4 linked regions of the Diceros bicornis minor genome follow. The main gene of each other region encodes a partner of the protein of the gene in region 3 in a complex. Links are inferred from orthologs where the notes say so. Each region holds a gene or a part of one and is shown on either strand. Other genes may lie near its edges. The genes, in order: TAF5, TAF10, TAF8 and TAF7.

The links.
Region 1: TAF8 (region 3) and TAF5 share a complex: the UniProt entries of both Homo sapiens proteins name them as parts of the TFIID basal transcription factor complex. The link is inferred for Diceros bicornis minor from reciprocal best matches to the Homo sapiens genes TAF8 and TAF5.
Region 2: the proteins of TAF8 (region 3) and TAF10 are in contact, whole or in part, in a crystal structure (PDB 4WV4), measured with the Homo sapiens proteins. The link is inferred for Diceros bicornis minor from reciprocal best matches to the Homo sapiens genes TAF8 and TAF10. Residues at the interface, in NP_612639.2 of Homo sapiens: Arg33, Thr36, Leu37, Val40, Ser43, Leu44, Leu45, Ala48, Gly49, Phe50, Glu51, Ser52, Ala53, Glu54, Ala56, Ser57, Thr60, Leu61, Met64, Leu65, Gln66, Tyr68, Ile69, Ser70, Ile72, Gly73, Arg74, Ala76, Lys77, Cys80; in NP_006275.1 of Homo sapiens: Pro115, Leu116, Phe119, Leu120, Leu123, Tyr126, Thr127, Thr129, Ile130, Pro131, Val134, Thr135, Tyr137, Tyr138, Leu139, Ala142, Gly143, Phe144, Glu145, Ser147, Asp148, Arg150, Ile151, Leu154, Ile155, Leu157, Ala158, Ala159, Gln160, Lys161.
Region 4: TAF8 (region 3) and TAF7 share a complex: the UniProt entries of both Homo sapiens proteins name them as parts of the TFIID basal transcription factor complex. The link is inferred for Diceros bicornis minor from reciprocal best matches to the Homo sapiens genes TAF8 and TAF7.

Annotation. Positions count from the first base shown.
Region 1 is NC_080745.1:68,225,828-68,233,394, reverse strand, and holds the start of TAF5 (transcription initiation factor TFIID subunit 5), read right to left. Parts: upstream 3,011-7,567; 5' UTR 3,003-3,010; coding exon 2,444-3,002; intron 157-2,443; coding exon 1-156. UniProt on the Homo sapiens protein: The TFIID basal transcription factor complex plays a major role in the initiation of RNA polymerase II (Pol II)-dependent transcription.
Region 2 is NC_080746.1:64,662,020-64,668,634, forward strand, and holds TAF10 (transcription initiation factor TFIID subunit 10), read right to left. Parts: upstream 1,900-6,615; 5' UTR 1,885-1,899; coding exon 1,653-1,884; intron 1,513-1,652; coding exon 1,358-1,512; intron 1,122-1,357; coding exon 1,057-1,121; intron 969-1,056; coding exon 854-968; intron 674-853; coding exon 584-673; 3' UTR 503-583; downstream 1-502. Other genes in the region: ILK (integrin-linked protein kinase), read left to right, coding at 127-276; TPP1 (tripeptidyl-peptidase 1), read right to left, coding at 4,311-4,451, 4,631-4,756, 4,913-5,071, 5,153-5,273, 5,730-5,794, 6,038-6,231, 6,378-6,576. UniProt on the Homo sapiens protein: The TFIID basal transcription factor complex plays a major role in the initiation of RNA polymerase II (Pol II)-dependent transcription.
Region 3 is NC_080753.1:23,422,465-23,430,227, forward strand, and holds the start of TAF8 (transcription initiation factor TFIID subunit 8), read right to left. Parts: upstream 3,016-7,763; coding exon 2,971-3,015; intron 2,172-2,970; coding exon 2,015-2,171; intron 1-2,014. UniProt on the Homo sapiens protein: The TFIID basal transcription factor complex plays a major role in the initiation of RNA polymerase II (Pol II)-dependent transcription.
Region 4 is NC_080740.1:59,489,615-59,497,046, reverse strand, and holds TAF7 (transcription initiation factor TFIID subunit 7), read left to right. Parts: upstream 1-4,640; 5' UTR 4,641-4,885; intron 4,886-5,008; exon of another isoform or gene 5,009-5,261; 5' UTR 5,262-5,348; coding exon 5,349-6,398; 3' UTR 6,399-6,926; downstream 6,927-7,432. UniProt on the Homo sapiens protein: The TFIID basal transcription factor complex plays a major role in the initiation of RNA polymerase II (Pol II)-dependent transcription.

The sequences.
Region 1 (7,567 bases), on a different chromosome or scaffold from region 3:
GTTGGGATAACTCTGCCCGATGGCAGTCCAAGGAACATTCAATGAAGTGTTTCAGTCCACTATAGTATTCTTCATACATTGTGGGGTCTCCTTGTTGGTTGTAGGCTGACAGCACGGCACTGACATCCGGCTGGTCTTCCACAGCTACACTTCCAACTGTTTAAAAAATGAAAACAACTTTCAAGAAAATGACATGTTATGTACCAAGTAACTGGGGCTATTTTACTAAGGTCCAGAGATGAATTGTTTCTCAAATGTTTCTCCCACTCCTCTCAAGCTCTCTTCCCCAACACAACCACGTGATCTTTAAATGGGATTTTCACTTTGTTTCCGTCACCCATCCAAAACTCCTTCAGCTTGTCCATATCGTAAAATAAAATTTTCAAATCAATAACAAAAAGATCCACTATTTTTCCTGGAGCTACCTTATATTAAAGACAAATTTTATAAAACAAGGTATGTGCAAATCAAAAAACTATATTAATCTTCTCTCAAGGCTCAGTGCAAACGGCACCCACCACCACCAACTCATGCCCTGGAGTAATAGTCCCAGCTCTCTGAGCTACGTAAGTACTTTGTATCTTTCCTGTAATACATCCCATCATATGTTACCTTCACATGTGTACATCTATTACTCTTCATAAAACGTAAGCATTTTAAGAGCAGGAAGGACCTTGCCTTATTTATATTTCCAAAAGATAATTCAATTTTATAGGCTTAAAACAATTTCCATAACCACCATTTCAAGGCAGAAAACATGAGTATTTATTTGTAATATAGCAATCCCAAACAATGATACATCTGTCAATCAAATCAGTTTGATTGTTGGCAATTTTTAAGTTGCAACTGTTATGTTATGCTCTTTACTGCACAAATATTATAAAATCTGTTAATCACTTTTATGGCTTCTTTTCCTCCTTACTGGTTTCTGAGTTATGATCTAAAAAAATAGGTCAAGTTTCTGAAGATATGAGAGATTACAGTAAAATAACCAACAACATAATTCATCCATCTTATAGTTCATGTGCAAAATTTAGCATTCAGAAAAGATTCCTCTCAATCATATTTTCACACATTTCTTTTAATGAGTTACAGTGCTATCTAATTATACTTCACTCTGGCAATGCTGCAAAAATTAGGTTTCATAAATACAGATTAATTTGCCCAGAGGCTCTGCACTAGATAATTTAATTCAATAAATGTTTATTATCAACTCAGGATCACCTTTAAGACCTTACATTGTGTAGGAGTTTTACTCCTACATGGACTTGGAGACAACAGTTGCTGGGAAAAGGGGCGGGGGGGCCCTCAGATGTCAGGGATGGACACCTAGTCATAAACTTATCAGTGCTAGGCATTGTACATATATTATATCCAAGCCTCACAATAACCCATTTAATAGAGGGGGGAAAAGCTCAAGCTTAGGAAGAATAACTTAATCAGCATCACACAAGAAAAAGCAACAGAAACAGAATCTGAACCCAGGTCTCCCCAACCCCTATTCCTTTGAGGAAGACCAGCCCTGAGCTAACATCTGCCAATCCTCCTCTTTTTTGCTGAGGAAAACTGGCCCTGGGCTAACATCCATGCCCATCTTCCTCTACGTTATATGGGATGCCCCCACAGCATGGCCTAACAAGCGGTGTGTCGGTGCGCGCCCGGGATCCGACCCCAGGCTGCCAGCAGCGGAGCTCGCGCACCTAACCACTACGCCACGGAGCCGACCGGCCCCCAACCACTATTCCTAAACGAACGGTTCTCAAACTTTGTCATACATCAATACCCCCTGGAAACATTTATTAAAAATGCAGATTCCTAGTCTCCACTTCCACAGGGTTTGATTCACTTAGTCTGAAGTGATGCCCAGGAATCCGCATTCCCCAAAAGATTTAACACTGGTGGTCCTTAGCCTATATTTTGAGAAATACTGGCTACACCAAGTTCCATCACTCCCTGGCTGTGTGATCCAGAGCAAGTCTCTTGGCCTTTCTCAGTCTTTTTTCTCATCTCTAGAATAGAGGTAACGTCTACGTCACAGTTTGAACTGTAAGAATTAAGATACACAACTTCAAGTATTTATAGTACTTAAAGTATGCTAGTACAGAACTGTACAAATATTGCTAGTGTCAAGGTAGAGCTGCTAAAAGCTCCACAGCCCAAATAAGAGGAAAGGGACCGAGAGCATGAAAGTCCCCGCCTCTCCGCGCCCACCTTCCCCATACATCCCTCTGCTCAACAGCTCTCCTCAGCCTCTCGCTGGAATTGACAGCTCGGAAGACGGTTTGCGCAGCCGGCGCACTAGAGAAAGGGGCGGGCATGTGGCCCTAGAGGCGGGCCCAGGAAATTCAAAACAAGCCCGCAGAGGTGCAGGCCTGCCATCCCCTGCCTTCCCGGCTTGCTCCCCTTCTTGCCGGCCCTGCCTCCCCGAGACCCCGCGGCTCACCTTTCCCCGGAGCCGCGGGACCTGTGGCTGAGCCCGAGACGGCGGCAGCCCCCGAAGTGCCGGTGCCCGGAGGGTCGGGGGCCGCAGGGCCGGGGACCGAGGCTGTGACCCGGCTGAGAAGCGCGCTAGCCGCCTCAGCGCTGGCGCCGTCCGCCTCTCCCGGGGCTCCGGAGCCCGCCACTGCCTCCTCCAGCAGCCGGGCCTCACGGCGCAGCGCCTCTTCGGCCTCGCGAAGGTTGCTCTGCCGTAGGAACTGCAGCACGGCCAGCAGAGTCTGTCGGTCGTGGGGAGCGCCGGCCTCCGGAGCAGCGGCGGGCACCGGGGCCGCCCCCGCCGGGGCAACGGCGGAGACAGCCACCGAGGGTTTGGGGGTCCCGCCATCCCCGCCGGCCGAGGACGACGCCGCAACGTTCCCGCCGCAGCCGCTGGGGCCGTTGTTGGTAGTGCCGCCGCCACCCTCACCAGCGCCGTCCCCCGCCTGCGGAGGTAGCAGCGTCGGCGGTCCCTCAGACTCTAACTTGACCGCCACCTCCGTCTGCTCCTCCGCCAGCGCCGCCATCTTGCGGCTGAGCCACCTCGCGCCGTCAAGCGTGATTGCGTTTTCGCCACATGGAGGGTGGGGAGGAGCATTTTACGACAGTTCTGGAAGGCAATTTACGGCAGTAGGAGGGGCGAGAAAGAAGGAGAAGAGAAATGGGAGCCAGGGCAGCTTTCGAAAGTGAGTGACAGAAAGGCAGGAAGTGAGAGTAGGCAGCCGCCTATTACGTTTGCCTGATAATAATTACCATTTATTACAGACCAGCTATATTCAGGCACTGTGATAGACGTTCTACATTATATGACCACCTTTAATTCAACAATCTTATAAGGTACTGTTATCCTCACTTTACAGATTGTTCGGCGGAGATCCAAAGAGGTTAAATAACTTGCCAAAGTCACACAAGAAGGAAGTGCAAAGTGTCAGGATTCGAATCCAGGTCTTTAACTCAAAAGCATATATCATTTGTCAGAGGGAGGCTTCTGAGATAATGGTAATGTTTTATATTTTGATCTAGATGGTGTTTATTTTTATTTTATTTTTGCAGTTTTTCTTTTTGTAAAAATCGAGTGCACGCTTAAGCTTTGTGAACGTTATAGCATATATATTTCAATAAAAAGTTTTTAAGTACCTGAATTTTGTGATTGTGAAATATGTACATTCTGTATTCATGCTATATTATCCATTATTACAAATAAACTGCATTTTAGTTGTATATTTTTAAATAGTATATACCGTTTTGCAATAAGCTTCATTCATATGCATGCTTCACTGCTGTGTATTTTATCTCATTTGAACCTCACAACTCTGTGGGATAGGTACAGACAAGAAAAGTGAGCCTGGGACATCGGGAAGATCTGGCACAGTTATTCAGGTTGTTGTTTTGAGGTCTTACTGGCTTCCTTGAATGACCGGGAACAAGTTACTTAACTCACTCTACTCCAGTTGCTCAATTTCTAAAATAGGGATGATAATAATAGTACCTACCTTATAGAGTTGTTGTGAGGATTAAATGAGGTAAAGCGTGTGTGATACCTAAGATAATAAATAGCTATTGGTTATTTTTACTTCACCTTAAAAGGTGTTTTTTTTTTTTTTTTTTGCTAACATCCGTGCCCATCTTCCTCTACTTTACATGGGACACCGCTACAGCATGGCTTGACAAGCGGTGCGTCTGAGCCCACCGGGGATCCGAGCTGGCGAACCCAGGCCGCTGCAGCAGAGCGCAAGCACTTAACAGCTGCACCACTGGGCCAGCCCCTAAAAGGTGTTCTGTAAATGTTTGTTAAGAAAGTCCAATCATAATGTTCAGGGTGATCTCAAGACTGAAATATAAAACTAATTTAATTGGCTATCTAAAGTAAGAATATGAAACATGGGGTTGGAGGTGGGGGAGAGAAGATGAGCAAGAATTGGTTAGCGTTCACTCAGCACTGGCCCAGAGAGAGAAAACCTGAATCTGATGGTACACTCTTATGAGGTGGGGAGAATTCATCCTTTTCTTCGGGATCATTCAACTCACTTTTTCTGATTCAGTATTCACTAATTAACTTAATAATTAATTGAACATTTAGATAGATGAGAGATGCCGTGAATAACAAGCCCAGGTGTGTTTACTATTCACTGAAAAGATGTTTTACCCCATTATGACTAGGAAATTAACTTTCTGATGCATACATTAGTCTCGTGAATCAAGTCCTGGGAACTGGATCCACCTGTACAGCTGAAGCCCAGACACTAGGACTCACAGAAGTACAGCCACCTCCTTTCCATCTGTGGCGTCTGCTTTTTACCTGACTTTGTCTCTTAAGTTCCAAAGAGTCTGGGTTGAGACTTCAGCCAAGGTTGCCTACTCCAAGTAGAGTGGCTTTGTGTTACACCACAGTAGAGATGTTTATTGAATGCCCGCAAGTCCCATTTTTAATTTTTGTTTCTCTTTTCCGCTTCCTTTCTGATCCCTACTCCCATTCTCCGCCTACTCTCTTCCTGGGATGCTTTAAGAAGTCTAGTGTCAATCTATATCTTATTCCCTTATAGAACAGCTGCTCTTTCTCTCTGGATGTTTTTCTTTGTCTTGGATGTTCTTTCATTTCACTCTACTGTATCTAGGATTACCTTTTTCCTGTCTATTCCGATTGGCCCTTTATGCACCCATTCAGTCTGGGATATTTTTTTTTTTTTTCGTGAGGAAGATCAGCCCTGAGCTAACATCCATGCTAATCCTCCTCTTTTTGCTGAGGAAGACTGGCTCTGAGCTAACATCTATTGCCAATCCTCCTCCTTTTTTTTTTTTCTGCAAAGCCCCAGTAGATAGTTGTATGTCATAGTTGCACATCCTTCTAGTTGGTGTATGTGGGACGCAGCCTCAGCATGGCCGGAGAAGCGGTGCATCGGTGCGCACCCGGGATCCGAACCTGGGCCGACAGTAGCGGAGCGCGCGCACTTAACTGCTAAGCCACAGGGCCGGCCCCTGGGATATTTTTTTTAATTCTGGAAATTTAGCAAGCATTAGATCTACAAATATTTTCTCCCCTCTATTTTTCCCCTTCTTGTATTCTTGTGATGTAGATATTGATACTTATACGTCTCTCCTCTAGGTCTGTTAACTTTCATATTTTTATGTTCACCTCTTCCTGATACCTTCTAAAAGCGTTCCTCTACCTGATTTTTCAGTGCAGTAATTCATTCTTGGCCTAGATCCATATTGCTCCGTAACCCATTTATTGAGTTATTTACTTCAACCATTATATTTTCCATAGTATTTTGAATTGGTTCTTCATGATTTATTGTTGCTGCTTCATGTAACCCAGTTGAGTGATTTTTGTCTCCCCTGAGGACATGTGGCAACGTCTGGAGACACTTTTGGTTGTCACAACTCGGGGTGGTCCTACTGGCATCTAGCAAGTAGAAGCCAGGGCTGCTGCTAACCTTCCCACAATGCACAGGACAGCCCCACCCCTGCCACAACAAATTATCTGGCCCAAAATGTTGATAGTGCCAAGGTTGAGAAACCCTGATGTAACCAATATGAACTCTTTTCTCTTCGAGGATATGTGTTATTTTTTTTAAATTATCTTTCCATCTGATGCATTTAATCTGTTTCATCTAGTCTAGGTTGTTCCATTTTTTGCTTTAATGGGAGTTGCACCTCCTTCTGCATCTCATTACTTTTCTCCATGCATTTGTATTTTCCTGGAGGTATCAGCTACCTTGGCTGATATGTATACCCAGAGGGAGAGGCTGAAGCCCAGCACTGGGAAAAGGCAAAGGATGCGCCAAAAGGAGGAAAGACTGTGGTGTCACTGTCTGGGCTGCGTCACTCCCTGTTTGCCAACACACACGCATACATGCAAACACACGTATCCTCAGGTTTTCACAGTTTATACAGATCTATAAATTACAATGCCATCTCTAGGGTTGGGCGTGACAGGGGAGCCAGCCACAAGTGTGAGTTTGCCATCTTGTTTAGTTCTTAAGTTTAAATTCACACTGGTGGCTGGCTTCCCCGTCATACCCAACCCTAGAGATGATACTGAAACTGATAGATCTGTAAAAACTGTGAAAACTCTAAGGGTGTGTATGTGTGTGTGTATGTAATAGCAGCTCAAAGTGAAAGGGGTCAGGGGGCCACAGACAAGAGTTAGTTTGGGGAAAAGCCCTTTATTTGTGTTTGTCTCTTTCCCACCTCACTCTGGAAAGAGGAATGTCAAAAGTAGCAATTGACTACAGGAAAGTTTCCTGAGGGGTGTGTGTGGGTGTGGTGTGGGTGTGGGTGTGGGTGTGTGCATGTGTTGGCAAAAGGAGTGATGGAGCCCAGACAGTAACAATGTTTACTGTGCTAGAGGGAAACCTTGGGACAGGTGGCAGGGGGAGGGGAGGGGATGTGCAAAGGACCAGAAGTGAGAGAGGTGAGAGCATATTTAAGAAATAGAACAAAACTCTTTATGGCAGGAGCATCAGCATGAGGAGGAAGAAGAGATGAGACCAGAAAGCTTAGCCAGGGTTGGATCCTGACAAAAATCAATCCTGTTCAAGACTTTTGACTCTATCCCTAAGGTAATAGGAAGCGGTTGGACCATTTTAATCTGAGGAAGGGGATAAGCAGACTTATGTGTTTATATGTCTCAGGCTGAATTGGAGGAAAAGATCAGCGGGAAGCAAGACTAGAGATAGCAAGTTCAGTTTGGAAGTGGTTGCAGTAAACTGACCTGCACTGTCTATCAGTGTGTGGCTATTTACGGCCACTGAATGTGGCTGGTCTGAACTGAGGTGTTCTGTAAGTGTAAAATACACACTGGATTTCAAAGACTTAGTACAAAAAGAATGGAAAATAGCTCATTAATAATTTTTATATTGGTAGTGTTGAAAGGATAATATTTTTGATATGAGTTAAATATTTTGTTAAAATTAATTTCCTGTTTCTTTTTACTTTTTTAATGTGGCTACTGGAAATTTTTAATTACATATGCCACTCACTTTATATTTCTGTTGGATAGCACTGATCGTCTCTGGATGGGTAGCTTTCAAACATTTTTGGCCATGATTCATGGTAAGAAATATACTTACATAACGCACAATATCACATA
Region 2 (6,615 bases), on a different chromosome or scaffold from region 3:
TGTGGTGGGGCTGGGCTCTCATACTGTGTATGTTTGGATATACAGTAATCCTGTCCTGAGGGCTAGAGGCCTTTCCCCACATGACTCAAGTTCTGAGACCTACCTGGTTTTTCCCTGTATCTGCAGGTGGCACTGGAAGGCCTTCGGCCTACCATCCCACCAGGCATTTCCCCCCATGTGTGTAAGCTCATGAAGATCTGCATGAATGAAGACCCTGCTAAGCGACCCAAGTTTGACATGATTGTGCCTATCCTGGAGAAGATGCAGGACAAGTAGGGCTGGAAAGTCCTTGCCTATACTCCAGAGGTGTCAGGACACAGGGGAGTGCACCTCCCCAGAGCTGCAGGCCTCTGGTTGCCTTCCCTGCCTCCAGTCATGGTACTACCCCAGCCATGGGGCCCATCCCCTGCCCCCGTCCCTACCACTGTGGCCCCAAAAGGGGCTGGGCTCAGAGCTTTGTCACTTGCCACACGGTGTCTCCCAGCATGGGAGGGATCAGCCCTGCCTGTCACAATAAAGTTTATTATGGAAACAGGCTGGTGTGGGGTCAAGGGGACAGACAAATACATTTAGGTTGGGTGGCTCAGGTGAAGTAGTGCGGCTTCTTCACATTGATGCCATACTCGCTGAGGGCAGGGGTCAAGTCCTCCATGGTTAGAGTGTACTTGCGGTCCTGAGGGAAGACGGAAGAGCACCAGCTGAGCAGAGGAATCCCAGATTTTAGTCCCAGGTGATGACCCTGAGTAGGTCATTCACCTCCCCTAGAGCTTAGTTTCCCCAAAGGAGTTTCAGCATAAATTAAGCCTCTGCTGCTGGGGAGGTAATTACTGATTCAATGAGCCTCCCCTCACACCTTGCTCTTGCTTCGGGAGCTGCCAGAGGCTGTGCCCTTCATTTTGCAGTGCTGTAGGGCATCGTTGGCAATATCTGAGATGAATTTCTGGGCAGCTAGGGAGATGAGCCGAATTCTAGAGAGAAAAAACTGGTATGAGGAGGAGATGGACAACAGAGTCCACACAAGCACCCAAGGCTCTAACCTGCCCACAGGTTACTCACATGCGTGGGTCCGAGGCCTCAAAGCCAGCACGGTTCAGGTAGTAACCAGTCACTGCATCTGGGATCTGAGAAATCAATTAGATGACTGTCAGTGTTAGCCCTGTGCACGGCAGTGAGAGAGTAAGGGAAATGGGGGAGGACAGGCCTGGCTATCAGGAAGCTCACAGTTTGGCTGGGCAGAGGGGATAAATCACAAGAGCTAGCAGGGAAGCAAATACAAGAGGACGCTGGAAATCCAGGTGGTGTGGCGGAAAGTTGGCGTGACAGCGTGTCAACAGCCTTGTTCAGGCTGGAAGCCCACCGTAGGCGTGTAATCCTCCAGCTGCATCAGGAAGTCCACCAGAGGCGTGCTGGACACCACCGGCTTCACCTCTCCGTTGGCCGCGCTCGGCAGCACGTAAACCCCGTTAGACATGGCCCCCTCGGGGGGCGCCGCGCCGCCCGCCGACACCGGAGCTGGAGAAGAACCAGCAAACTGAGACACGGAGGTGGGGGGCGCAGGGCCCCGGCTAGATCTGCCTTAGACCCTCTGCTCTCACCCGCCGCTGGGCCCAGCCCAAGGCGCTGCCCTCGCCCTCACCCGTCCCGGCCCTCACCCGCCCCGCGCCGCTCGGCCGGCTCCCCGGCCCGCGCCGCCACGGGTCCCGTGCCCGCTGCCGCGGCTCCAGCCCCAGGCCCCCCTGCTGTCCCCGCGGGGCTGGCCTTGTTCTCCACAGCAGTGCCGGCGGGCAGCGCGGCGGGGGCCGAGACCGCGGGCGCCGGGCCCGGGGCCGAGGCGGCGGAGGCCGGCGCCGCCTCGGGGTCCGCGCCAGAGCCGCTGCAGCTCATCGGGCCGGTGGGAGAGGCGGCGAACAGAGCCACTTCCGCTTCCGCTCACGTTACGCACACACACCATGGGTGACGTCACACGCCTCGCGACTCGCCGCGCCCACGCCGTGTTCGCCCTCCGCCGTAGGTTTTCCGCCTCCCGGTTGCCCATCCTCCCGCTGGATGACATGGACTGAAGGTTGGGGACCAGCCTAGGAGAATGGCGCTGGCCGCGGACATTCCACCCTCTACCCGCGCCGTATTCAAGTGTTCCGCTGGGATGGGAACCCTTGAATGTCGAGGACTCTCTTCGGTGGGTCTGGGACCCCCTCATTCAGTCTTACGCCTAAAGACCTTGCTTTGGGGCTCCTGGGCCCAGCCCCCTCGACCAGGAGGCCTGCCAGCCTGCATCCTTTATAGCTCCCTCATTCAGTGTTTTTAAGGCTTAGTAATGGAGTTGGAAAGCCCCCACTCCCCGCCAGCTGCCGGGAGAAGTGAGGGCAGCGGGAGAGCGCACACAGTGTTGCTGTAGATGGTGGAAAGAGGTATTTCAGCCTGGGTAAACAACATATGCAAAATCACAGCGAGTGAAAAAGTGGGGTTTTAAATGCAGCAAACATTTATTTGATTCCTATTTGCCAATCCTGAGCTAGGGCCTGGGAATACAAAGTTAAGTAGGACAAGATTCTAGTCCTCTAGGCACCAATGGTCTTGGAAAGGGAGGCAAACAGGTAATCTGGCAATTTCAATATTATGTGAGATTTATAATCCTAGAGGTAGACACAGAATGCGGTGCAGCAGAGGAAGGGAACTAACATCTGCTGCTTACTTCTGTGTGTCAGGTGCTCTATCAACTTGATTCCATTTAATTATTCCTTGCTTGTTATGAGAGGCAGGTATCGATATCCCTACTTAACATGAGAAAAAAGCCTCAGGGAGATGAACTTACTTGCCCAAGGTTCTCTTCTAGTCTATATCAGAACCAAGAATCAAACTGGTTTGGTTTCAAAAATCTAGGATTTTTCTGACATGCCAAAATCAACTAATTTCAGGAAGCCAAAAGGTTCACAGGAGAAGGTGACTTCTGAGCTGATTCTTGAAAAAGTCCTGGAAGTCAACCAAGCAAAGGGGAGTTAAGAGTAGTGTTAAGGGCACAGAATGTCTTGAGCAAGAGTGAAAGTGTGGGGAGGAGAGCAGGGGAGGATAAACAACTTGTTACTCAGGAACAAACAGCAAGGAAGGGATCCAGTTTGTGAATCATGGTAAAAAGACTGAACTTTATCCAGTAATCTTTGAAGGGTCTTAATCAAGTAAATGACCTGATGGGATTTGCATTTTACTCTGGAAGATGGTTTAGGGAAGGGCAGAACGTAAGGACACTTTTTGCAAGGGCCTCCTACAGTTCAGAGGAGAGACAAGATGGCTCTAAGCTAATGTAGTAGCAGTGGAGATGGAGAGAAGCAGACGAGTTCTAGATATACTTAGGAGACATAACTGGCAGGACTTGTGGATTGATAAAGATGTATTTAAGAGGTGAAGTCAATAGGACTTGATTGAAGGTGGTGATGGGGGGAGGTGAAGGAAATGGGAGTCTAGGATGACACTTAGGTTTCTGGCTTGGTTGGAAGAAGCGTAGTATCATTTACCAAGAATAAACAAAAGAGAACAGTTTGGGATTGGGAAGGAGGGAGATCAAGTATTGAGTTTCACACATCTTGCATCTGTGGTATCAATTACTGTTGGATAGAAAGTCTGATTTGGGAGATGGTGATGGCTGTGGATGCCAGTGATTGATTTCTTCCAGGGGACAATGGGTAGAGTGACGAGAGCAAAAGACTAAGGATGGAGCAATGAAGTACACCAATATTCAATGAGGAAGAAGAGAAAGAGAAGGAGGAAGAGGGAATGAAGGAGGAAGAGAGAATGGTCAGAGGAAAAGTTAAGCCCTGGAAGCTAAAGAAGGAGAGAGAGTGAGCAACTATGACAGAGAGCCCCTAAAGCGGAAACTGGGACGTGTGCACTGGATGAAGCAGCAGGGAGGCCATTGTTTCTCAGTGTCGGGAGGAAAAAGTGAAAAAATGAAAGCAGAGGTTTCGTTGCAATGAATTGAGAGAATATGTGGTGGAATAACGTATACAGACTGCGTAGACAACCCTTTGGAAAAGTCTGGTTGAAAAGAGAAAGAAGAAATGGGGGGGGGGGAATCCCAAACAGTACTGGTTATAGCATCTGTAGAGGAACCTGAGGCAGGAGTAGGGAGACCTGAGTATCATGGAGCAGGGAAGCATTGGGAATCAAGTCAAGCTCACAGCATTTCAGGGTTAGGGAGATAAACTATCTGCAGCAGTCAACAGTTGAGGGTTCAGCAGGGCTTCCAACTGCAGAATAAGGGACCGAGCCGCCAGCCGTGGGGCAGGGGACAGGCCCATTCTCTTGGTAGGAAAGGGTCAAGGGTTGATTAGTGTCTTCAGTAGAGCTGGGAAGTTGGGTGTTCCCCAGCCTGTCACAGGATCCCAGCCAGGGCCAGAGCAGAAACCCTCACCCTGCACCTCTTCATTCAGACAGGACTCATGGCAGCCACGGGTTACCTAGGGAGAAAGTGGGCATCAGATTTGGGTCTGCTGGTCCCAGTACTAATAGACTGCACTCCCTCACATTGTATTCACATCCCAGGGGCTCTCCCACCCCGTAAGAACTGCCCTCAAGTTCATTTTAGCACTCCCCATACTCTTAGGAAAACGTCCGCCCCCTTCCATTCCACACTTACATCAAAGAGTCCTGTCCCACGCTGCTGGTAGAGCCTTGGGTTGAGAAAGCCAAGAGAAGGGTGGCCACTGAGAATTCTGTGTTCATTTATCAGGGCTAGGAGACCCCCAAACACTGGAGTAGAGGCCTGCAAGGGTGAGGGTGTAAGTAGAGGTTAGGGGTTCAGAGTGATTGGACTTTGGGAGAGGGATGTTTGAAAGGACCAGAGGTCTCTGAGGAGTCAGGGGTTCTGGGTGCAAGAGTAGTTGCTGAGTGGGGGTTTTGGAGCCAGGCTGATTCTCACCGAGGTGCCAGACACCCATGGAATGGGCACATTGTTGCTGACCACCCAGTAGCCATCAGAGAGTGCAGCCACATCTGGGTAGGCACGGCCACTGGCGTTGAAGTAACTGGATGGCGGCAAATGGGGGCTGGAGCTCAGGAACTGGGATACAGCTTCCTCCTGAAAGGCATTGCTGAGTGAGTCTTGTCTGCTGAACTGAGGATCCCCCCTACCCATCCACCCACACAAACATATGCGTACCTGGTATGAAGGCCGTGGGAACACATTGCTAAAGCCACCACCACTGATATAGTCAACAACTTCATTTGTGACTCGGAAAGGATTCTGGAAGGATGTGCCTCCCACCGTGGTGACATAGGGGCTGAGGGCAGAAGACAGCGCTCAGATCGTAGGGGTCCCAAGGGGACCTCCAAAATGAGTAGGGATGGGGAAGTATGCCCTGGATCTTGCATAGGGGCTGGACTTGCAGAGGGGCTGGACTCTGTAGGGAAGCATGTACAGGGGGATGACTAAGAGGTTTTGAGCCCTCAAGGCATGGCCTGAGGTGACTGTGCACATTTTTCCCTATGGAACACCCACCAAATCTTTCACTAAAATGCCTGGGGACTGAGGAAAAGGAACACTGGGAGCTGTGTCCTACTCAGGAGTCTTGGGGCCTGGGACCTACAGGAAGAAGAGGGGAGTGCAGCAACCAGAGCAGGTAAAGCTGAGGGCTGAGTCACAGGAGGGCCTGGTGCGGTCAGGCAAAGGTTCCAGATCAGGAGGTCACAGATGAAAGGTTGGTGGTCACAGGTAAGTGGTCGGCTAGGGTGCTTACCTGGAGGCAGGGAAGGTGGGACGGAACTGGTGTCTTCCAGAGACAGACCAACACCCAGCCCCACTGTCACCTGGGAGAGAGACCGAGTTTAGCACTCAGATTAATTGGTCAGAGCTTGGTGTGTGGGTTCAGATGTCGGAGAGGAAATTCAAGTGTTAGTCATTACTGCAAGAGGTCAAAGTTTAGAGGTCAGTCAGTGGTCTCTGTTGAGTTCAGATTATGAGTCAGAGATGAGGTTCACATGTCACTGTGGGTCAAATCTGCCAGGTTGGGTGGGTGAGTGGAGGCGGTCTAAATTTGAGTAGGAGGTCACCTGAGGCAAAGAGCAGGGTAAGACCACGAGCAGCAGCCTTCATGAACTCGGTGTTGACCCGCTGGAGGTAGGCACTGCTGAGGGAGTCCTCGTCATCTCCGTAGCTCACGGTGTGCACATGTGGCAGGGCTGACTCGTTACTGAGTAGTAGGAGCCACTGCAGGAAGGGCTCCTGTGACTCGTGCCGGCCTGGATTTTTTTGAGGGGGTGGAGCATAAGGGCAGTCATTTGGTGGGTTGTCAGGCTCTCCCTCTAGCTCATGGGATTCCCTTCAGGGAGCAAGGATCAACACTCACCCACACCCCCTCCCCACCAACCAGTCCCCATGGCAGTACCAGGGTTACTGTAGACCCAGGTGGAGATGTTGGCGCCAGCACTCATCAGGTACTGCACATCTAGACTGGCCTCGATCCCGGCCAGGCCCCGACCCTGTTGTCCGACCACACGGGCTACTGATGCCTGGTGTGCAAACTTCCCACCAAAGAGGCGCATGAACTCAGCCAGGTCTGAGTCATGGAAATACTGCTCCAGGAACTATGGAGGGAGTCAGAGCAGATATCATGGGTCAGAGGA
Region 3 (7,763 bases):
TTACATGCCAGCAGGTCCTAGGGTGTCAAAGGATACATACAGGAAACAGAGACTTTGCTCCAAGCCGGGTCTAAGATTGGGGTCCCTAGAAACGAAGTGATTGTAGTGAACAAGCACATCAGTTCTGCCCGATGCTTACAACTAACGCAAATCCTAAAACTGACATCCAGAACCACTGACAACACGGAGGCGCTCGAGTCGCAGCAAGCCCTCAGCTTAAGCCACCCATCCTTGGTACTCCTTTGGCTGAAGAGGCAGGCTTTTATACTATCTCCAGACCTTTTAGTTCTAATACTCACAGCTTTCCAACACAACTAGTTCAGCGCCTTCACGTTCAGCGGCAACCATTTCTTCTGAGGAAAAAAAAGGCGTCTTCTAGTGGTAGGAGAAAGAACCACCTCGACTATGAGGATCTTTAAACTCGGAATGGCGAGATCTTTTCAAGAACTGAATTCCTATCTGTTGGGAAATATGAGTCCACTCCTTTAGGACAAAAGTTTTCAGCGTGTCTAGGAATCCCAGGGTGTCCCTGACATCCTTTCCAAAGTCCACAGGTCAAAAACATTTTCAGAATAAAATTAAGACATTTTTTGACTTTTTCCTTTTCATTCTCGCATGTAGTTTTCCAGAGGCTATATGACTTGTGATGACATCATGGCTCTGCTGGATAATGGAACACATGCTTGTGCATTCTTATGTTTTAAAATATTCTGTTTTATTTTCTAACGTCGCAAATATCTATATAGTATATAAAGCCCATGTATACAAAACTCTTCAGGGTCCTCAATATTTAAGAGTCTAAAGGGGTTCTGAGACCAAAAAGTTCAAGATCGCTGCTTTAGGAAAACATTTGGTATTGAAAAGTTCTAAATATCAGCTGCAGAGAGCCACCTCACCCCAGGTCACACCCTTCCTGGCACGCCCACATCTAGTGACTGATCAAGACTGGAGTACAAATGGAGGGCCTGTGTGGCCTGAGGTGGGATACTGATAGCAATAAGCTATGCAGAGCTCCCCAGGGATTTGAGTAATTCTTTGTCTGACCTGCATTGCAGTTCAACTTCTCCCTCTGCCTAAACCTCTCTCACTTCCACTCATAGGTGTTGATCCCTTTAAAAACACCTTAAATACCCCTATCCCTCATCCCATCCTACTAAAAATAAAATAAGGTCCAAACAGGGAAACATGTTGCACATGCAGCAAAACCTAGGTGAGACCATTCCAGGTTCCTAAACCTCAAGACATTTCCTTTTTTTTTTTTTTTTAAAGTTATTTATTTATTTTGTGAGGAAGATCAGCCCTGAGCTAACATCCATGCCAATCCTCCTCTTTTTGCTGAGGAAGACTGGCCCTGAGCTAACATCCGTGCCGATCTTCCTCCACTTTATGTAGGACGCTGCCACAGCATGGCCTGACAAGCGGTGCGGCGGTCCGCGCCCGGGATCCAAACCTGGGCCGCCAGCAGCAGAGCGCACGCACTTAACCGCTATGCCACAGGGCTGGCCCCAAGACATCTCCTTTTAAAAGTGGTTTTTCCCATTCTATAAAACCTATTCACCCTTACTCTTTGTATCACATAATATAACATTTGATTATATAATGTGTGGCATCTACTTCATGGGAATTAATCTGAACTCTCCAACAAAACTGTAAGTTCTTTGAACATAGAGAGCAAACAGCAATAATAACAGCACCTATAAGTCATCAAGAGCTTACAATGTTCCCAGCATTGAATGTTTTACAGATATATCTTACTCATACTCACAACTCCATTAGGTGTAAATTATTATCCCATTTCACAAATGAGGAAATGGAGGTTCAGGAGGTTTAGTGACTTGCCCAAACTATTAAGTGACAGAGTAATGACTTACACCCAGGTCTGTCTGATTCTAAAGCCTCTAAGTCACTTTACTATGGTCTCCTTTTTCTTAAATCCTCTCTAACACTATCACAATGCAGGACACAGAACAGATGCGTGGTTGACTCGACAAGGCCTAGCTTTCCCCATACTCACAGCTCTGCAGCATCTCTGTCAATGTTTCCACAGATGCTTTCTCAGCGCTCTCAAACCCTGCCTCTGTCAGCAAAGAGCTCACAACCACTTGCAGGGTTCGCCTCCGAGCCAGATGGTAGTTATCAGCAGGGTTAGTAGATTGTTTACTTCCTGATCTCTGTGAATCAGCAGCCCAAAAAGAGAGAAGATTTTCATTCACAGGACAAGGATACAATCACATAGTTCACATGTCATCAATGGCAAGCAAAGGTTCTTTTGCTAACTACTTATTTATCAGTGCTTAATAAAATGTGGCAGGCTCCGATGTTTAGACTTATAGATCTTGGCTGAGTGATAACTGAGCACCCAAGGGGCTCTAAATACGGAGAATGCCTTTCTACCTACCTAAAACTTAAAATTCTAGTAACACAAAATGGTTGTTTTTTACTTTCTATTTCAGCAGAGTATCAGAATACATTACATAGCTAAAGAAACACGCATGATGGGAGTGAATTCATGTCTACCTCTCAGAAGGAAAAAAACAAAAACTCTCTCTTGTTCCTCCCATTTCTACACCATCTCACTAACAGGAAAATTAAAATAATAACACAGGATGCTGAGAAGAGGAGGGCAAAGGATAATAGCCAAGTAGGAAAGCTAAATATTTTGAAACAGGAATCCCTCCCAACTTTGGCTAGCCAATAAGAAAGCGAAAACGGCCTCTTCGGACCAATCAGGAGGTGTTCCGGGTTCCCAACACCCAACAGGGAACGAGCCAATCAGTACACAGGTCCACCAACTCAGGAGGCCGCCGCCAAGTCCCGAGGAGGGGGGGCATGTACGGCCTGGAAGACCTTCCTCCACTCGGAGCTCATGGTGGGGCTGGACTTCCGGGTATGAGCTTGTCGCCCAGGCTAGGGGAAAGTTACAGAATGCCCAGACTCTCTCGGCTTCGGCCCCGCGCCTCCCGCCCTTACCGTTCCGGAGCCGCCGGCCCCGGCAGTGGCCGCCGTGTCGGCCATCTTGCTCGGCGTAGTGTGCGCGAGCGCAGGGCAGGATGGAACTTGTAGTCGCGGGGCGGGGAGGGGCAGGGAGGGGCAGGGAAGGGGCGGGGCAGCGCGAGCCCCTGCGGGCTTTCCGAAGCCCAGATGGGGGGATGCGTTTGATGACCCCGGCTCACGTGACATTCTGTGAGCGTTGGGTTCAGGGGGTCCCAGTACGCCACGGAATTGGCCAGGAAGACGCGCCCTCGGTTTCACAAGTCTTTCAAGATGAAATCGTTTCTCATAGAGAGCACAGCTCTGGAACGCTCAAACTTGCGTGATTGTTAGCAACACCTGGCTGGGTCCCGTCCAGTCCCAGCGACTGACTCTCTGGGGTGGGGCCTGGGAATCTCTATTGTTAAACTCTCCAGGTGATTCTCCTGTGCGGGAAATTTGGGAAACCTTATTTTGTGCTGACAGCTCCGCAGTTCCCAAGTCCCACTTGGAACCAGAGCCTAACGACCACCTAGTGCACGTTTTCCTCTGCATCCAGCTGCCTTCTCGCACTCAATTAATCCGCAGGTATTTGCGCGGCCAGCCGGGAGGCGCAGGCGGCAGGAGGCTGTCCCTTGCCCGCCTCACTCCCAGGGCGTTGCGTCCACGCGGTGCCTGTAGTTTTCCGTGGCTCACTCGCCCGTCAGCCCCTTTGGATGGGGTTCTTCGTGCGGGGACCTCACCATGCCTCCTTCGTCTCCGTTTGCGGGTGCCTGGCAGGACGCAGACTCTGGGTTTGAATCCTAACACTCGCCAGCCGTGGGACGTCTGGCACATTACCCAACCTTACTGTGCCTCAGTTTCCTCTTTTGTGGAACTGGGGTGGGATTGAAAGCAGGGGAAAACATGAGCTAAAATACACAAAGGATCTGTCACGGTGCCAGACGTATAGTAAGAGGTCAAGAAACAGCGCCTAATGTTGTTGATTTCCTGCCAAGCGCGTGGAGCGCCCAGAAGGCAGAAGTCTGGGAACCTGCGCTGCGCCTGTCCTGCAGCGCGCGCCTGAGCCTGGGAGCGCGCCCGCCCCTCACCCAGGGCACGGGGGGCGGGGTCTGTGGGCGGGGGGCGCGGCGCCGGGTGAGCCGCGGGGCCGCGCCAGGAGGAGTCGGGGCCCAAACCTTAGCTGAGCGGAGCGCCCAGCCCCTTTGTTTCCCCCGCCCCCTCCTCCCCACTTCCTGCCCAGCTTTAAACTCCGGATCGGCGGCGCGGCGCGGACTTTGTAAACACGCCGCGCCCGCGGGGGCGGAGACTGGTTCGGTTTGGGCGTCTGCAGGAGGGGTCCACGCCCCCCCAACCCCCGCGGCTGGAAGTTGCGACCCCCCTCCCCCACCTTCCCAAAGACAGAAGCCAGAGGCGGCAGGAGAAAGTGCGGCCACAGTCGGTGCTCTGGTGGACTCACCTGCCAAGGAGGTAGGCTTGAGGGCTGGAGAAACCAAGATAGAGGGAGTGTCAGCATCTCCCTCTTTCTCTGGGGCCTCCAAGCTCAGGCTGGGTACCCGGGGTAGGGGGTCACCGCGCCTTATCACCTCCCCGTTGTCACCCAAAGCTCGGCTCACTTTCTCTCTGAGTGAGCTGTTCTGCACGTAGCTGAAGGGCAGAGAAGCCCCTCAAAGCCCTGAGCCCTCTATGTCCCCACAGCCTCCCTCCAAGCTGACCTGGAAGCCCAGTGGCTTCACTGGGCTGTCGTCGTTCTTCATACCTCAGATACAGGGGTGGGAGGCAAGTAGGAGGGCAGAACCAGTGTGGAGAGAGACCCTTCAGGTCCTCCTGCCAGCCAGGGCAGAAGGAGGAGGCCAGAGTACAGGACTGGAAGGAGAGACCCCTCACTGTTCGTCCCTCTGGTGTCTGATGGGTACACAAGTGACGGGCTTAGCCTCTTCTGTGTCTTTTGTGTCAGCGAGAGGAATAACGGAAGAAATTGGTTGCTGCTACTAAGGGAGCATTAATGTATTCATTTTCAGACATTAATTGGGCACTTACTATGTGTCTGGGATGGTGTGGGATGCTGAGGGTGCAATGATGTTAGTCATCCACAGTTAGTGTGTGTCATAGACCGACAGAGATAAGGTGCCAAGTTGGAGTGGCTGGGAATGCTTCAGAGAGAAGAGGACGTTTGAGTTGTCTTCTGAATGATGCAAGTCACCAGGCAGAGAAGTGGTGGGAAGTCATTGGGAGCACTTTTTCGTTCTCCAGAGCTGTACTCATGCCTGACAGTGGTGTGGGGCATTAGGTACAATGAGGACTCAGATGCAGTTCCTGCTCTCTCTAACCCACTGCCTGGGCATGAGGAAGAGGTGGGAATGAACAGGATGAATTCAGGGAAAGGCAGGTTTCTAGGCTGATCCCTAAGAACCCAGAAATTCCCAGTTGGGTGCAGCTGGAAGGGTCCACCTGGGGGTGATGCAACAGTCCACACAATCTTGGGGCACCCACGCCCATCTCTGGACTCTAGGACTGTTTCCTCTAACAAATCCTTGCTCTCTGCCTCCCACTCAGTTCTCTTTGAGACCAGACTTGGGTGAAGAGAACTGGAGCTCCCACTGCTTTCCTGCAGAGTGTTCTGCTCTTTCAGTTTCTGGGCTCCTGGGAGAGGTGACGGGCACAACACCTGTTTGCTGTGGCCATACTCTGTCTGCACAGGCTAGATGTGGGGGATGTAATGGCAAACGAGTCAGAGCTTCTATCCCCCTGGAATTTAGAATCAAAAGCGTTTCTGAGGATTCCAGCAGGATCCCAGTCTATGCCCAGTCGTTGAGACCATGACCTCCATGGTCCCAAGCGCCTTCTCTTTCCTGTTTCCCTCCCTCAAGGGTTCAGAATATTAGCTGACACTTATATATAGCACTGGCAGGTACTATTCTCAATGTTTTAGGTGTAATGTCTCATTTAATCCTCTCAATGGTCCTATGAGGTAAGCACTAGGATTATGTGCATTTTATAGATGAGGAAGCTCAGGCACAGAGGAGATATGTAATTTTCCTAAAGAGGACACCAGAAATAAATGGCAGAGCTGGGATTTAAACCCAAGTCACTTGACTTAGAAGGCCCTGTTCTTAACCAAAGGCTAGCCTGCCTCCTGGACTGACCACATAGAATGTGCACTTGAGCCAGGGGCTTAGGAGTCCCTGAAAGGGAGTCCCTGGTCCTTTATCTTGAGTGATACAGAGGAGAGCAATCTGTTAGCTGAGCGCGGGTTTGCAGGGAGCCCCAGCAGGCCTGGGGGCCCTAGGGTTATGGTGATTGCACAGAGCTTATATGCTGTCTAATGGCGTGTGTGTGTGTGTGTGTGTGTGTGTGTGTGTGTGTGTCTGAGTAAGCCTCACTGACCAAGAGGAACAAACCAAGGTTTGATGCAAGAACGAACACAGCATGGATGTATTGTGCCAGAATCTGGGGATGTGGGAAACCAAGACACCTCTTTTGTTGGAAATCTTTAAGAATAGCGTGGACCCTCGTATTCTAGATTCCAAAAGGAACAGTCCAACTTGGTAGCTAAGTAAGGAAGATGCGGGGGGAGGAGTGGAAGCAATCTTGAGATGCTCACTTCTCTTCCCCACAGCTGCTGCATCCCAAAGCTGCCTCTGTGCATCTGACCCCATCCCTCCAGGCAGGCTGGGACAATGCCCATGGTGTGAGCCAGGCCACAGGGCAGAGGTTCCATGGGAACCCATTTTTCCATTACCTTTCTGAAACTCTAGGTTTCTCACAAGAGCCCTCTGCACAGATCTGGGGAGGCTCTGGGGCAGTCCCTCTCTGCCAGCAATCAAACCGCCTCGTGCCTCTGTCTTTGAGAGAGGGGTGTGTGTTGGGGGGATGGGTATTGATGCAGGGAGTGAAGGGCAGAGGTGGCCACACTGAGATACAGATAAGCAGGATGTACCGACCTCCAGGCTGCTCCCCTGCCACCCCCCGGCCCTGCCCCCCCGCTTCCTCTCTCAGCTTAGGGTGGGGTGCGGTGGAACCCTTGGCATGCTCCGGCCCCCTGCCCCAGGCGCTCTCTTGGCTGGGGAGAACAGGTTGTACTCTTGAGAAAACCACAAGAGGAAGTTTAGGGAGGGCTGGGGGTGGGGAAAGTTCTGGGGCCCCTGCCAAGTTTCCCTTTCTCTGCTGAGCGGTGATAGGTGTGTTTATTTTGGTGTGTTTCTCTTGCCCTCAAAGACATTTAAACTTTAAACTCTTGAGTTTCAAAGTGCTGTCAAGGCCTGCCCCATTACTGCAGGGGGCCAGAGACACTGTGGAAATGGGATTGGAACAAGGTGCCCATTTGTTGATTTCACCCACCTGGGATTTGTGCTGGGTGGGAAAGGCTGACTAACCCCAGAAAGTCTCTTTTTCTCTCTCTGCCCTTTCGCCTTTCTCTTCCTGCAAGCACTCCCTACAGCCCTTAATCCAGAGGAATGTGGTTATAATGACCGCTTAGGAGCTGAATGGTGTTGTCAGGAGCAACACATGTTGCTAAGTATTTTACCTGCCTTATCTCACTTAATATTCACCACAACTCCAGGTAGTAAATACCGCTATCCTTCATTTACAACGAGGAAACAGGCTCAGAAAGGCTAAGAAACTTGGCTGAGGTCACACAGCTAGTAAGTGGCAGAGCTCAGATTTGAACACTGGTTTGTCTGATTTCAAAGCCAGTGCTCCTGATGTCTAAATGAACCCCCAGATCGGAGCATCAACTTCCCCAACATATCACACCCTGAACAGTAGGGAGGTTGAGATCCAAAGGTGTT
Region 4 (7,432 bases), on a different chromosome or scaffold from region 3:
TTGATTTGCATTTCCCTAACAGTTAGTGAAGTTGAGCATTTTTTCATGTGCTCACTGGCCATTTGTATGTTTTTTGGAATTACATATATATTATTATAATCCCCCAAATAATCAGCTCTTTCACGGATACTATTAGTTGCCTCTATGGACTGAATGTTTGTGTCCCCCCCAAATTCATATGTTGAAACCTAACCCCCAGTGTGATGATATTTGGAGGTAGGGCTTTTGGGAGGTGATTAGGTCATGACGGTGAAATCTTCATGAATAGCATCAGTGCCTTTGTAAAACAGGTTGCAGAGAGCTCCCTTACCCCTTCTACCACGTGAGGTTACAGCGAAAAGACTGCCATCTATGAACCAGGAAGCCTGCCCTCACCAGACACCAAATCTGCCAGCACCTTTATCTCAGACTTCTCAGCCTCCAGAACTGAGAAATAAATTTCTCTTGTTTACAGTCCCCTCAGTTTATGGTATTTTGTTATAGCAGCCTGACAGGACTGAGACAGTTGCCCAAGCCCTTTCCTCTCTTCTAACACTTTTCTTTTAGTTTAGGTGTCCACCCTCCCTGTACCTCAGGGGAAGCTGAATGTATTCAGAGCTGTAGTAGGTTCTGATAGATCTAAACCCAATAATGGGGTCCTCTTGTCAGTGTTTAGTTAGGAATATAGGCTTAAAATAATAAACTTAGGGCAAGATTTCCCAAGCTTGGAACTATTTTGAGCCAGATAACTCTTTGCTGTGGGGGGACTGTTCTGGGCATTGTAGGATATGTAGCAGCATCCCTGGCCTCTACCCACTAGATGCCAGTAGACCCCACCCCCACAGTTGTGACAATCAAAAATGTCTCCAGACATTACCAAATATCACCTCCTCCCTACCATTTTGAAAATCACAGGCTTAGGGTATTCCCCTGGTGACTATTATTGAGCCATAGGTACATATTGAGGGATAGGTACATGGCTTAAGTTGGTCCAATCAAATTGAAAGACAGACTTAGGTTGGGGGGAGCCACTCTCTAAACTTACCATAGACAAGGAAGGAAGTTCCCCAGTTACTGTTGGCAGGTTTCTTGTGACCACAGACTTTGTAAGCTTACAAGGAGATGAGGGCAAAGCTGAAAGAATAATAGAAAAAGTAAAAATAAATGCCCATTCTCCAAAATTAGGAAGAAAAAAACAATTTATGCCAGCCAATGATTCTGTCATGCCTAGAGGCAGCCATACTTCTAGAACTGCACTGTCCGATATGGTAACCACCAGCCACATGTGGCCTTGAGCACTTGAAATGTGGCTAGTCCAAAGTGAGATGTACTGTTAAGTGTAAAATACACGCAAGATTTCAAAGATTTAGTACAAAATAAGAATAAAATACATTATTAATAATTTCTACATTGATTATATGTTGAAATGATAATATTTTGGACTATTAGGTTAAATAAAATGTTATTGAAATTAATTCGTTTCTTTTTGCCATTTTAATGTGGCTACCAGATAATTTAATATCACATATTTGGCTTTCATTTGTGGCTCTTATATTTCTATTGGACAGAGCTGCCCTAAACTACCTGTTTTTTTTTTCTTCTTCTTCCCTTTTTCTCCCCAAAGCACCAGTAGATAGTTGTATGTCGTAGTTGCACATCCTGCTAATTGCTGTATATGGGACGCTGCCTCAGCATGGCCGGACAAGCAGTGCGTCGGTGTGCGCATGTGATCCTAACCCAGGCCGCCAGTAGTAGAGCTCGAGCACTTAACCACTAAGCCATGGGGCCGGCCCTCAACTACCTGTTTTTTGAGATAACAGATTTTCTGATTATTTAAACCACTGTTGGTCTTTTCTTAGGTTGGTCTTTTTTCTATGGAAAGCATCCTATTTGATACAGGAGACTGCTAAATTTTAGTTAACCTGCTTTTTACTGTTTATATACTGATATTGCAGTATGTAAGTGTACTTTTTTGGGGTGTTTGCTATTTCCTCACCCCTATAATTTTCTATCTCAAAAATATAAGCAAGGCTTCTCCCATCACCCATAATTTTTAACTTCCGCAGTATAAGGAACTTGAAAGTTTATCAAAAGTTTATTACAGAAAATTTTCAAACATACAGCATTAGCCTGATTGTGATACTCCTTTATTATAGAAAGGAAGTTTTTGGAGAACTTGTTACCACACTGGGGAATTTATTGCTCTCCCCAAATCTTTTGGTTCACTTGTCTCACAGATATTCTGTGGAACAACCACCGGAGTGTAATTCTTTCATCAATTCAGAATGTTTCTGTATGTCTAATGATTTTGATAAATAAAAACAACTGGATTTATCAATAGACATTCAGGTAATGATGATGTGATAGAGCCCTTAGCTTTAGGATCAATGCAATTTCCCCTCCAAAAAAACCAGCATTCAGAGCCAGCCCTCATGGCCTAGCAGTTCAAGTTCAGCATGCTCCAATTCTGTGGCTGGGGTTTGGTTCCTGGGCGCAGAACCACACCATTCGTCTGTCAGTAGCCATGCTGTGGCAGTGGCTCACATAGAAGAATCAGAAGAACTTACAACTATACACAACTATGTACTGGGGGTTGGGGGGTGGGGAGAAGAAAAAAGGAGGAAGATTGGCAATAGAATAGGGTGAATATCCCCCTACAAAAAAACCCAAAAAACAAAAAACAGCACTCAGAAAATGCATTCATTTCAAAAGCAGAAAATATGTTTCGGGATTGAAAGAGGTAGATACTTTAGGGGAAACTTCAGTTAACCTTTTTAATTATATCTGATAATCTTCCATTTAAAGGCTTACTAACTAAAATACATCATAATTTTGGCAAATCAGTATTGCATAGAATTTATCTCAAGTTACTTCTCTGACAAGGATTATTTGAGCATCATAAAACTCACAGGCAATAAAATGCAAAGCAATATTTGGATTATTTTCATGTATAAGCATGGACTCACATTTTATATGGTTAAATAAAACATTATGCAGAGGCTAGCTGTTAAACTCATATCTATAAAATAAGTAAAATCAGGTATAATTAAAGGACAAGCACAGTAAAAAAAATTTCATCTTCAAAAAGAGGAAATACATCATCCTGGAACTTACAGATAAATCAGCTAAGATTTTTCAACACATTATAGAACAGAGAGAACTAATGTACAGTTATCTGAAGAGCATAACATCTCCTTCAAACTTAATATAAAAAAACCAAACTGGTGTCATACCACTTTAATTTCCTCCTATGATACACAGTATGACAGTCTACCTAAACCAAAGAGGACACATTCACACACACTATTAGCAAAACTCTCTGCTCATAACAATTGGCACTGTCCTTGACTAAAGAGTAAATGTTTATGAAGTGGCTCTATCTCATTTTAAGGTCACATAGAATGTATTTTCTCTCGCAAATTATTGTGGAAGTTAGACTATATGTTCTTTCTAGATGGATCAATTGTTTCATTCAATTAGCAAATATTTTTTGTATATCTCTCACGTTTTGATCCTAGGCATTGGGCCATGATGAACTAGATAGAAGACTCCTGATTATCATGGAGCTTCCAATCTGAGGTGAGGGAGACAATAAGTACATAAAGAAATAAAGTGAATTTTGAAAATGTTAGTCCCATTTTAAGAGCGGTCTCTCAAATTTAGATGCAGTTGTTAATATTTTAGAGGACAGAAATTAAATTTTTAATGACCTTGATGCTCTACCAAGCTGATCCTACTAAAAAATAAATGGAAATAAATAAGTGGAAACTGTTACATAGTTAGGCCAAACTACTATAAATACGTGTTGATGAATACCTGAATACCCAGAGAAGAGACAAGCAGAAAACAGTTATCAAAACAGCAAGGGTGGAATGAAAAACATTCCGAACTATTTAAAAATTACTGGCAAGTGAGTGGCAGGTAGTAACACTTCAGTTATATTCTACTTCGATCAGACTATTTGTCTACCAGACAACTCTGATCTAAACAAATACGTGCCTCCAGAAGAACACTTACTTCTCTGTTTACATTTATATCTAAACTAAACATATTAAAAAGAGAAATCACCCTTGTTCCCTTGGGGTCCGTCAAAACGGTAACAGACCCTGAGGCATGAGTCCCCTTTGGGCATTTTCATAATCAACAACAAAAAATAGAATTATATAGTGAGCAGCATGTCCTCCTCACTCGACTGACTTGGGTACTTTAAAATCCACTGTATGGTTAACTATAAATTGTTGTATCGGCTCCATATTGGATATACCCGGGGGAGCATCCGAGCCGTTTCCAGAAGCAAAGACGCTTTGCGCACGGACGCCCTATTTCCGGAAATCACCCGGAAGCCTAGACGCTGTCCCGCCCCACGGCGATCCGGTGAAAGTTCTGGCTCAGCGACGGGGGTGGCGGCAGGACCTACGTCTTTCTTGGAACCGTTTTCTCTAAATTTTCTCAAACCAATAACTGTTTATGAAACACTGTCACTTTTAACGCGTAAAGCCAACTTCTCGCGAGAAGCCAAATCACGCCGGATAGCGTAATTGTGCGTTGCGCCTGCGCGCGCTGGGGCAGTTCGTACTTCCGCGTGAGGCGTGCTGTCACTCACAGCCGCTGGCCGCCTCGCGCAGTGACGTAGTGCTTTCTCCTCCGCTACGTCTGCAGCTCCGCCCAGAGGTTTGTCTCGCTGCGGAGCTGCAGCTTGGCGCTGGGCGCTGCGGGTCCCGGTGAGCTTTCGTGCTGCCCATCCTGGGCCATTTCATTGATAAGCAGTAGCGGATCGCTTTGCTACGAGCCGGGAAGAACAAAGGAATCAGGAAGGAGACGCTCGGCCCGGCCGCCTCGCGCCGAGTTGCTGCTGCTTCCGCTGGCTCCTGTCTGGATAAGCTGGGTTTATAGTCGTCACTCGATTGTAAGTACCCGAGGCGAAGAGAGCTCACTGCGCTCCGCTTTTTGAATATCTTTGTTCCGGGACCTTTTGTGGATTGGGAGTGTCTGCTGGGCCTTACTTTCTGTGCCGAAAATCTTTCTGCAGGAGCCGCCATTTGCTTTCTTGCTAGCTTGCTCTCTCTGCATTGTTCGGCAGCGGCATCTAGAGGTTGGAACTTGGCATTGCAGCTAGTAGATCTAAATGGACCGAACTGAATAAGTCATGGTGTCAGTAACCACTGGTATTCAGGCACAGAATATTTAGAAAGACTTGGGGCTTAATTCAAAATTAAGAGAAAATAGATGCTTAGCTGCTGTACTACCGAGAACTATTTGTAATTAAAGATTTCCATTCATAGCAAACAGGTCTTTCTAACTGCTGCAATAGCTGGAACTTTTTAGTGCAACAAGTGGTTATTGGAGAAGTGAGTCTGAAAGAAATAAAGATGAGTAAGAGCAAAGATGATGCTCCTCACGAACTAGAAAGCCAGTTTATCTTACGGCTACCTCCAGAATATGCCTCTACTGTGAGGCGGGCAGTACAGTCTGGTCATGTCAACCTGAAGGACAGACTGACAATTGAGCTACACCCTGATGGGCGTCATGGAATCGTCAGAGTGGACCGGGTCCCACTGGCCTCCAAATTGGTAGATCTGCCGTGTGTTATGGAAAGTCTGAAAACCATTGATAAAAAAACTTTTTACAAGACAGCTGATATCTGTCAGATGCTTGTCTCCACAGTTGATGGTGATCTGTGCCCTCCTGTGGAGGAACCAGTTGCTACTGCTGATCCCAAAGCAAGCAAGAAAAAGGATAAGGACAAAGAGAAGAAGTTTATATGGAACCATGGAATTACTCTGCCTCTAAAAAATGTCAGAAAGAGAAGGTTCCGGAAGACAGCAAAGAAGAAGTATATTGAATCTCCAGATGTGGAAAAAGAAGTGAAGCGGTTGCTGAGTACAGATGCTGAAGCTGTCAGTACTCGTTGGGAAATAATTGCTGAAGATGAAACAAAAGAAACAGAAAATCAAGGCCTTGATATCTCTTCTCCAGGAATGTCTGGCCACAGGCAGGGCCATGACTCACTAGAACACGATGAGCTTCGGGAGATATTCAATGATCTCAGCAGCAGCAGTGAAGACGAAGATGAGACACAGCATCAGGATGAAGAAGATATAAACATCATTGACACTGAGGAAGATCTGGAAAGACAGCTACAGGACAAGCTAAATGAATCAGATGAACAGCACCAAGAAAATGAGGGAACTAATCCGCTGGTTATGGGAATTCAGAAACAGATTGATAACATGAAAGGCAAGCTCCAGGAGACACAGGACAGGGCAAAGCGACAGGAAGATCTCATCATGAAAGTAGAAAACCTGGCCCTCAAGAACAGGTTTCAGGCTGTGCTGGATGAACTCAAACAAAAGGAAGACCGAGAAAAGGAGCAGCTCAGCTCTTTGCAGGAAGAGCTAGAATCACTCCTAGAGAAGTGAGAAGAGCTTTGATACTGAATTTCATTCCTTAGACTAGTCAACATTAAAGGAAAGTTCTTGGCTTCATCACCTGGACTAGATATTATAATTTTGCAATAGTTCTGATTTCCTCCACTGCCTTCTATTGTGTTTGTTTTATAAACAAATATAAATGTGAATTTCTATTTCATTTGTCTCTCAGAACCACTTTGCTAGGTGTTTGTCCTGTAAAAAGTAGGAATGTATAGACAGATAAGTGATTGTAGGAAAGTTGTAGGGTTAGTGGAATGAACAGTTCAACCTTAGTAATCACAGCCTCACTGCAGGACTTTGCTGCTATTTCTCCATTTGCCAAAAGCTGGTGTTGCTGCTTTGTGGTGACATCTGAGATCAATAAGAGTCTAGTCTGGAAGCAGTGAAGCTAGTTTGCATATGTTTTCCTATGCAGTAGCTATTTTCCTAGCTATTCCAAGCAATTTTCCACATGTAGAGTTGCAAATAGTTTCTTAAAGTTGTTTTAACACAATAAATAAAAGCAACTAATTTTCACCTCATAATGTGTCTTCCTTTTTTAGGGGTAGTGGGTGTGTCAGATCCTCTTATAAGGTGGTTTCTTGGTGGGATTTAATGACTGAGCAATTTGATCGTGTTTTGTAGGGAAAGAAACAGTTATGTTGGGTTTTAGGGAAAACCCAACAGCGGGGGGCAAAGAAATTGGGAAATGTCATCTTTGCATTATATTAAGTTTCCAATCCACCTGCTCCATTTGGAAGTTAGGAAACACTAGGTACAGAACCTTCCTAAACTACCCTAATTTTTGTACATGTAGGTCTATTTTTATCTTTTTTTTTTTTAAGTACTACACATCTGCTTAAAATATTAGAAACAAAACAAAGTAAGGGCTATCAAGTACTGTTCATTGAATCATTCCATTGGTTTGGATTAAGATTGTATTTCTAAATATTTTCAACTTAATTTCTGCAATTATTTAATATTCTGAGAACTGAAGTGATTTGTCCATGTCAGTTGGTCAAAATTGCTCATAAAGGAAGTCA